2 linked regions of the Ovis aries genome follow. The protein of the gene in region 1 purifies or fractionates together with the protein of each later gene. This does not show direct contact. Links are inferred from orthologs where the notes say so. Each region holds a gene or a part of one and is shown in the gene's direction. Other genes may lie near its edges. The genes, in order: MAF and USP5.

Region 1 (4,484 bases):
CCTAGCGTCTCCCCCTCCCATAAAATAAGATAAATATGATTAACACCAAGTGCATTTCATTAATTGGAGGAATCAACAGTCCAACATCCAGGCAGGCAGGCTGGTCTTCCAAACGCTGGGTCGGCTCCGCGCCCTCTTGCTTTCCCTCAAATAAATCTCGGCTTCTCCATCTGGCCTATCGCTTTAAAATCTTAGAAACAGAGTTGCTGGTTCTTTCTTTCTTTTTTTTTTTTTCCTTCCTTTTTCTTTTCTTTCTTTTTCTTTTTTTTTTTTTTGCAAAGATTTAGAAGAATCGATCGAGAAAACTGAACAGTTAGTTATTAGCATCTGCAACACCCCCAAGGGGGAGAAGCAGCCCCTACTCCCGTCCTCCCCATCCCCCACTCTGGGTTTCCGGACCCGTCCCAGAAACCGCGGTTTAAAACTTAACCCTTCGAGGGGAGCTGGTGAAGGCTGGGCTATTGGTTCTTTTTTCGCCCCCGTTCCTCCCCACGATCAAGTCTGAAATAATTAAGCGAAATGTAAAAGTGCAAAGGGCGCGCAGGACCCTGATAAACAGGAGTCAGGTTTCATAAGGGGGTGGATGAGTATGTGCGTGTGTGTGTGAGAAAGAGAAGTGAGCCTCAAAGGCCAGACTCGGGCCAGAGTCAGAGGCCCGAGGGTGAGGAGCCGGGCTGACCTGACACCGAGCTTTCCCGGAGTTAATTCGCGTTCGCACCCCCCAGCCAAGGACGGGAGAAGCCAGCGGGCAGCCAGCCCCCGCGCGGAATGGCCCCTGAGCAACTCATTTCAAATCCTTTAAAAGAGGCTGATAAAACGGGCTCTCTCTCTCCGCGGACTTGGAGCCGCCCTGGCAAGCGCGCGGCCGGGCGAGGTCAAGCGCGCAGTGGGGACCCCTGCGCCCCCACGCGCGCGGGTGCGCGCGGGCACCGGGGAGAGGGACAAAGAGTTGGGGCCAAGTTTGCGCTCGGGGCATTGCCAGGCACCGGGGAAGGAAGGTTCCCCCCGGGCGGAAACCTGGGTGCCCTAAGGTGGAGCAAGGAGAAAAAGCTGCCAGGCGAATTCACGATCCTTGCGGGGGTGTGTGTCGGGGGTGGGGGGGGCGGTCAGGAAGGAGTTGGCGGGGAGCAGGCCAACCGTGGCCGAGCGAGTGGCAGGCGAGCTGGGGCTCCGGAAGGCAGGCCTCTCTAGCTCCGAAGTAAAGCAAACCGTCCTCGCTGTCCACCCGGGTTCCCGCAGCCCCTCCGGAAAACTCCGTCCCCTCTTGCACCAAACTTTGCTCTGGTCTTTGCAACCTCGCGCGGAGGCTGCGGCTTGGGAAGGGTTAAGACTGCCCGTCCCAGCTGACAGTCAGCTGATTGGGCCCTGATTGACAGCTCGGAAAAGTTTCCTTGTTTCTCGACTCCTATGCTAATCGCGGGCGCTCCCGCTGCCTCCCATTGGTCCGGAGTACCAGTCAATTTCCCATTTGGGCCTGACGTCACGAGTGCTATAAAACTCAGCAATAGCTTTAAACTCTTCTTGCTGGATCAGAGGCTTTAAAATCTTTTTTTTTTCATCTTCGAGCCGTATAGCTCCGGCTGCTCGTCTGCGCGGTCTCCCCTCTTTTGCTCTGCGCCTCGCCTTTTCCCCAGGACTTCGCTATTTCGCTTTAAAAGAAAAAAAAAAAAGCAAGAAAGAACTCAACTCCCCCCCCCCCCTTTCCTCCAGCCCGGCTGCACCTCTGTCTTGCACTTTGCACGGAGGGAGGAAGAGCGCGAGGTTGAGCGAGAGGAGAGAAAAAAAAAATTTTTTTTTAAATTAAAAAAGAGCCAGGCAGAAGAGGAGGCGAGAAGCATGAAGTGTTAACTCCCCGGTGCCAAGGCCTGCGCCGCCCGGACAGCCGCCCGCCGCGCCTGCAGCCCCGAACGGCAGCCGCGCGCGCCCCGCCTGCAGCCGGGGCCAGCAAGCCGAGCCGAGCCCTCCTTATGCAAAGCGCGCAGCGGAGCGGCGAGCGGGGGACGCCGCGCACCCAGCCGGGCTCCTCCGGCTTCGCCGCCGCCGCCGCCACCGCCACCGCAGCCCGCGGAGGACCTTCCCGAGCCTGAAGCCGCCGACTCGGCGCGCTAGGAGGCGAGCAGGCGAGGAGGGGCCGGGGCGAGCGAGCGAGCACATTGGCGTGAGCCGGGGCGGGGGGGAGGGAGGGCGGGCGCGGGGGGCGCGGGCAGGGCGGCGGGGGTGTGTGTGTGTGTGTGTGTGCGCGCTCGGAGGTTTCGGGCCAGCCACCGCCGCGCAAGCTAGAAGCGCCCCAGCCCGGCAAGCTGGCTCACCCGCTGGCCACCCAGCACAGCCCGCTGGCCCCTCTCCTGCAGCCCATCTGGCGGAGCGGCGGCGGCGGCGGCGGCGGCGGCGGCGGCAGGAGAATGGCATCGGAACTGGCAATGAGCAACTCCGACCTGCCCACCAGTCCCCTGGCCATGGAATATGTTAATGACTTCGATCTGATGAAGTTTGAAGTGAAAAAGGAGCCGGTGGAGACCGACCGCATCATCAGCCAGTGCGGCCGTCTCATCGCCGGGGGCTCACTGTCCTCCACCCCCATGAGCACGCCGTGCAGCTCGGTGCCGCCTTCGCCCAGCTTCTCGGCGCCCAGCCCGGGCTCAGGCAGCGAGCAGAAGGCGCACCTGGAAGATTACTACTGGATGACCGGCTACCCGCAGCAGCTGAACCCCGAGGCGCTGGGCTTCAGCCCCGAGGACGCGGTCGAGGCGCTCATCAGCAACAGCCACCAGCTCCAGGGCGGCTTCGATGGCTACGCGCGCGGGGCGCAGCAGCTGGGCTCGGCGGCCGGGGCCGGCGCCGGCGCCTCCCTGGGCGGCAGCGGCGAGGAGATGGGCCCCGCCGCCGCCGTGGTGTCCGCCGTGATCGCCGCGGCCGCCGCGCAGAGCGGCGCGGCGCCGCATTACCACCACCACCACCACCACCACCACGCCGCCGGCCACCACCACCACCCGACGGCCGGCGCGCCGGGCGCCGCGGGCAGCGCGTCCGCCTCGGCCGGGGGCGCGGGCGGCTCGGGCGGCGGCTCGGGCGGCCCGGCCAGCGCCGGGGGCGGCGGCGGCGGCGGGGGCGGCGGCGGCGGCGGCGGGGGCGCGGCGGGGGCGGGGGGCGCCCTGCACCCTCATCACGCCGCGGCCGGCGGCCTGCACTTCGACGACCGCTTCTCCGACGAGCAGCTGGTGACCATGTCGGTGCGCGAGCTGAACCGGCAGCTGCGCGGGGTCAGCAAGGAGGAGGTGATTCGGCTGAAGCAGAAAAGGCGGACCCTGAAAAACCGCGGCTATGCCCAGTCCTGCCGCTTCAAGCGGGTGCAGCAGAGGCACGTCCTGGAGTCCGAGAAGAACCAGCTGCTGCAGCAGGTCGACCACCTCAAGCAGGAGATCTCCAGGCTGGTGCGCGAGAGGGACGCGTACAAGGAGAAGTACGAGAAGCTGGTGAGCAGCGGCTTCCGAGAAAACGGCTCGAGCAGCGACAACCCGTCCTCTCCCGAGTTTTTCATGTGAGTCTGACACGCGGCCCCAGCTCGCCCCCTTGCTACGCGCTCCGTGGGGGTCCGACTCGGGTGTGGGCTTGCAGCTCCAAGCGCCTTGCTCGCCACCACCTCGCCCCCTCCCCTCCCCAACTTGCCCCCCCCAGTTGCCCCCTGCACGCGCACACACACACGCGCGCACACACACACACACACACACACTGCTCCGAGATGATGGTGGTGGTGGCGGCTGTTTTTGAGTCGGGGAGGGGCTGGTGGTCTGGCTCATGGATTGCCAATCTGAAATTCTCCATAACTTGCTGGCTTTTTTTTTTTTAACATCCCCCCCCCCACCCCTTTCACTTGCTCAATGTTCAAAGATCTCAACAGAGTTCCTCATGCTCACCTTTGAAGCCTGCATCATTCACGTATTTTTTTTTCTTCAGTTCATGAGCTGGTGTTCATTTTCTGTGTGTGTGTGTTTTATTTTGTTTGGATTTTTTTTTTAAAGAACTTTGAGTTTTTGGAGCTTGCTGTGTTGCCCCTAACTCACCACCCCCCCATCCTCCACCCTCACCCCCTTGCCACCCATCTCTTTTGAGATAAAAGAAAAAAAAAAGGCTAAGTTTTTTTCTCCTCCTGAGTTCTTCATATGAGATTGAGCTTGCAAAGGAAAAAAAAATGTGAAATGTTATAGACTTGCAGCGTGCTGAGTTCCATCGGGGTTTTTTGAGCATTGTTATGCTAAAATAGAGGGAAAAAAATCCTCATGAACCTGCCACAATCAAGCCTGCATCAACCTTCTGGGTGTGACTCGTGAGTTTTGGTCCTTATGATGCCAAATCTGAGAGTTTAGTCTGCCATTTAAAAAAAAAAAAAAAACAACTCATTCTCATCTCATGCATTATTATGCTTGCTACTTTGTCTTAGCAACAATGAACTATAACTGTTTCAAAGACTTTATGGAAAAGAGACA
Region 2 (3,800 bases), on another chromosome or scaffold:
TCTTCTACCATCCTGTAGCTCCGTCTTGGGGCAGAGGCTTGTGTACCCTGCATGCTCACCTGTTTGGGAAGGGGAGGGAAGGTGAATTGCTGGAAAGACGTGGACCCCAAGTGTCAAACACATGTCTCCCCACTTTGGAGGGACCTGTTCCCTGAACTGGTAGATGAATGCTCCCTTCCCTTTTCCTCTGGGCCTGGCCGCAGCCCCTTCAGTGATCCTTCCCTTGGCTCAGGTACGTGGATAAGCTGGAAAAGATCTTCCAGAACGCCCCAACGGACCCCACCCAGGACTTCAGCACCCAGGTGTACGTAGCCGGGCCTGTGTGCCCTCTTTCTCTTCCATGACCCCCTGAAGTGAGCAACAGTGTAGCCTCTGGCCAGCTAGACACTTTCCAGTTGCTATCTTGCAAGCATGCTGTCTGCCTTGAGTTGGGTTCCCATGGAATCTAAGGTGGTTCACATTTAAGAGAGTTGTCTAAGGGGGTTTGAGCAGGGGTCAAGTTGGGGAGGTAAGGGCTAGATTGGTGGTGTCAGACGGAAGCTAAATGGTTCTCTTGGGTGATGACACAGGGCCAAGCTGGGCCACGGCCTGCTCTCGGGGGAGTATTCCAAGCCAGCACCAGAGTCGGGTGATGGGGAGCAGGTAATGGAGCAGAAGGTGGGTCTGGACCTCCATCCTTCTCAGGCTGTGGAATGGTGGGGAAACTGAGATCCATGTGGGAGGCGTCTAAAGAAGGCCACTTGGTGGCCTCTCGGGCCCCGGCTGAATGGCTGCCCCAACTCTGCCTAGGAAGTCCAAGATGGCATTGCCCCTCGGATGTTCAAGGCCCTCATTGGCAAGGGTCACCCCGAGTTCTCCACCAACCGGCAGCAGGATGCCCAAGAGTTCTTCCTGCACCTTATCAACATGGTGGAGGTGAGGACAGGGAAGGTGGGGGTATTCATTCTCCTCCTGTCTACCTGCACTTCAGTTCACTCCCTTCTTCCCGCTGCTCACCTGTTCCTCCTCCTCTGTCAGCCCCAGCCCAGCCCCACCCCAGTGACCCCAAGCACTGAGCCTTTCCTGAGAGTGGCGTTTGCACTTGAGGACACTTGTTATGCATACAGCCTGATGAAGGATGCTCCCAAAGAAAATGATAGGCGAGTGCTTAGTGCTTAGAAAGAAAGTACAGGGGACTTCCCTGGTGGTTCAGTGGTTGAGACTTCGCCTTCCAGCACAGGCGGGTGCAGTATCAATCCCTGGTTGGGAACCTAGGATCCTCCAGGCCAAGAAACCAGAAACAAGCAATACTGTAACAAATTCAATAAATACCTTTTTTCTTTTTTAATATTTATTGACTTGGCTGTGCTGGTCTTAGTTGCAGCACAGGGGATCTTTGATCTTTCATTGTGGCATGTGAACTCTTATTCGTTTCCACAAGTGGTATCCAGTTCCCCAGCCAGGGATCGAACCTGGGCCCCCTGCATTGGGAATGCTGAGTCTTAGCCACTGGACCACCAGGGAAGTCCCCAATAAAGACTTTTTTTCAAAAGGAGGTCCACATTCAAAAAAGAAAGTACAGGCACTTTCCCACGCAGTCCTGCAGTGCCAGGATGGGCCGGAACTGGCGGGTTGATGAGGGAAGGTTTCTGCTCTGGTCTCCCATCCCTGCACCTCTTTGTGCCCCTCTCCCTTCCACTCCCTTCTCTCCCTGACTCCCCAGTGACTCTTGTAGGCCCCCACCCCAGTGCTTGGCTGTCCAGACCTCCCCACCCTGCCTCTTCCCCATAGAGGAATTGCCGGAGCTCTGAAAATCCTAACGAAGTGTTCCGCTTCCTGGTGGAGGAAAAGATCAAGTGCCTGGCCACAGAGAAGGTGAAGTACACCCAGCGAGTGGACTACATTATGCAGCTGCCCGTGCCCATGGATGCGGCCATGAACAAAGGTGGGTGCTCTGCTACCCTCCCGGGGCCTGGGGTCTGAAGCCTGGCAGCGATGGGGCTTGGGTGCCTTTCAGGAGCAGAGCCCACAGTATCCCTGCTTACCAACCAGGCCAGGGTGTGGGATTAACCTTGCGCACAGCTGGTCAGCTGAGCCGTGCTGAGAAAGAGGCCAGGTTACAGGCAGACGTGTGTCTGGTGGGTTTGGGGAAGCAGAGGAGCTGAGATAGCCGTGGACTCAGAGGCAGTAGGCCAGGGATGAGCGGGGATGTGGCTCGGCCCCTCTGAAGGGTCCACCCACTTGCTTCTGTCACCAGAGGAGCTTCTAGAGTATGAGGAGAAGAAGCGGCAAGCTGAAGAGGAGAAGCTGCCTCTGCCTGAGCTGGTTCGGGCCCAGGTGCCCTTCAGCTCCTGCCTGGAGGCCTACAGCGCCCCCGAGCAGGTGGACGACTTCTGGAGCACAGCCCTGCAGGCCAAGTCAGTCGCTGTCAAGTAAGTCCTATGGGTCCCGGCCTCCGTCAGGGTCCTCCCCGAGATGCTGTCAGCCTCTTTTGCATCCTCTCATCCCTTTGTGGTCAGAACTCAGGCTTCCATCAGCTGAGGCAGGTAACCTGGGGCCTGAGGGGAACCGAGAGGGCCTGGCAGGAGTGGACTTGGATAACTGCTACATGTTACCTTGACCTGCCCCTGCCAGTCTTTTTCCTCTCTTGGGGTGGATGGGGTCACTTTTCAGGAAGCCTCTGTCTGCTCACTTCCCCAGGGCTGGCAGAGCATGGGCACTTAGGAACAGTGGTGGACAGAACTGAGATTTTTAGCACATAGTCTTACTTTTTGCTCACCCGTCACTGGCGTAAACTTGAGATCTGAGAAAGTGCTTTGGTCTCCGAGATTTCAGCCACCTGCCCCTTTGCTGCTCCTGCCCCTAAGAACCCCCATTCCCCTACTTCCTACCTTCTGCTACTGTTCGTCTGCAGACACTCTTGATGCCTGTCCAGGGCAGGAAAGGAATATGAAATTATCTTTAGTGTGGTTAGTTCTTCTACCTATGAGGCTGGACCCGGGTGGGGCTTTCAGGACAGCTTCTCTGGGTACCAGGCCATTCTCTCTTCTCTAGGACCACACGATTTGCCTCATTCCCTGACTACCTGGTCATCCAGATCAAGAAGTTCACCTTTGGCTTGGACTGGGTGCCCAAGAAACTGGGTATGGTTGCCGGGACGAGCAAGGGAGGTTACGCAGAAAATGCTAGAAAAAGAAGGGGCCTTGACATGTAAACTAGTGCTTCTTCAGCTTTCCTCTGAAAGGGGAAACATTATTAAGACTTTGATTTAAAAAAAAATTTTAACTACGTTTTTTAATTGAAGTATCATTGACTTACAACATGGTGTTAATTACTGCTATAGAGCAAAGCTATTCAGTTATATTAAATACATATATATTCCTTTTTAAATTTTTTGTTATGATTTATCATAGGATATTGAGTACAGTGTGCTGTGCTATACAGTAGGACATTGATGTTTAAGACTTCTTTGATTTTATAGTTATGACTTACACAAGCAAAAGTGGTTTTCATAGTTTTATACAGTTGGTAAGATGTTTTCATTCTGATAATCTTGAAATAGTTTGTTTTCACGGGTCTCACAGGCCCCTGACAACTTTGCCAACCCCAGAACTAGCTTCATTTCCTAGAGAAGTTGAGTCCCATGGAAGTATAGAATCGTTCGGTGGCATAGTCAGAGACCCCTCTCTGGCTCGTGGCTCATTAGTGGTAGATCTAAGACTGGAATCCTGTTCACTTGCCCACCCACCCCCCACCCAGCCTGTGGTTATTTTTATCACACTGTGATGGGTCCTGCTCTGCACATCATCTTATTACAGAGC

Evidence for each region.
Region 2: the proteins of MAF (region 1) and USP5 purify together in Homo sapiens (affinity purification with western blotting; 3 studies listed by BioGRID, with this or other methods). This does not show direct contact. The link is inferred for Ovis aries from reciprocal best matches to the Homo sapiens genes MAF and USP5.

The regions. Positions count from the first base shown.
Region 1 is NC_056067.1:6,019,411-6,023,894, reverse strand, and holds the start of MAF (transcription factor Maf), read left to right. Parts: upstream 1-1,518; 5' UTR 1,519-2,402; coding exon 2,403-3,542; 3' UTR 3,543-4,484.
Region 2 is NC_056056.1:209,426,790-209,430,589, reverse strand, and holds part of USP5 (ubiquitin carboxyl-terminal hydrolase 5), read left to right. Parts: intron 1-232; coding exon 233-304; intron 305-569; coding exon 570-657; intron 658-789; coding exon 790-915; intron 916-1,430; exon of another isoform or gene 1,431-1,503; intron 1,504-1,770; coding exon 1,771-1,924; intron 1,925-2,236; coding exon 2,237-2,411; intron 2,412-3,033; coding exon 3,034-3,122; intron 3,123-3,800. UniProt on the Homo sapiens protein: Deubiquitinating enzyme that participates in a wide range of cellular processes by specifically cleaving isopeptide bonds between ubiquitin and substrate proteins or ubiquitin itself.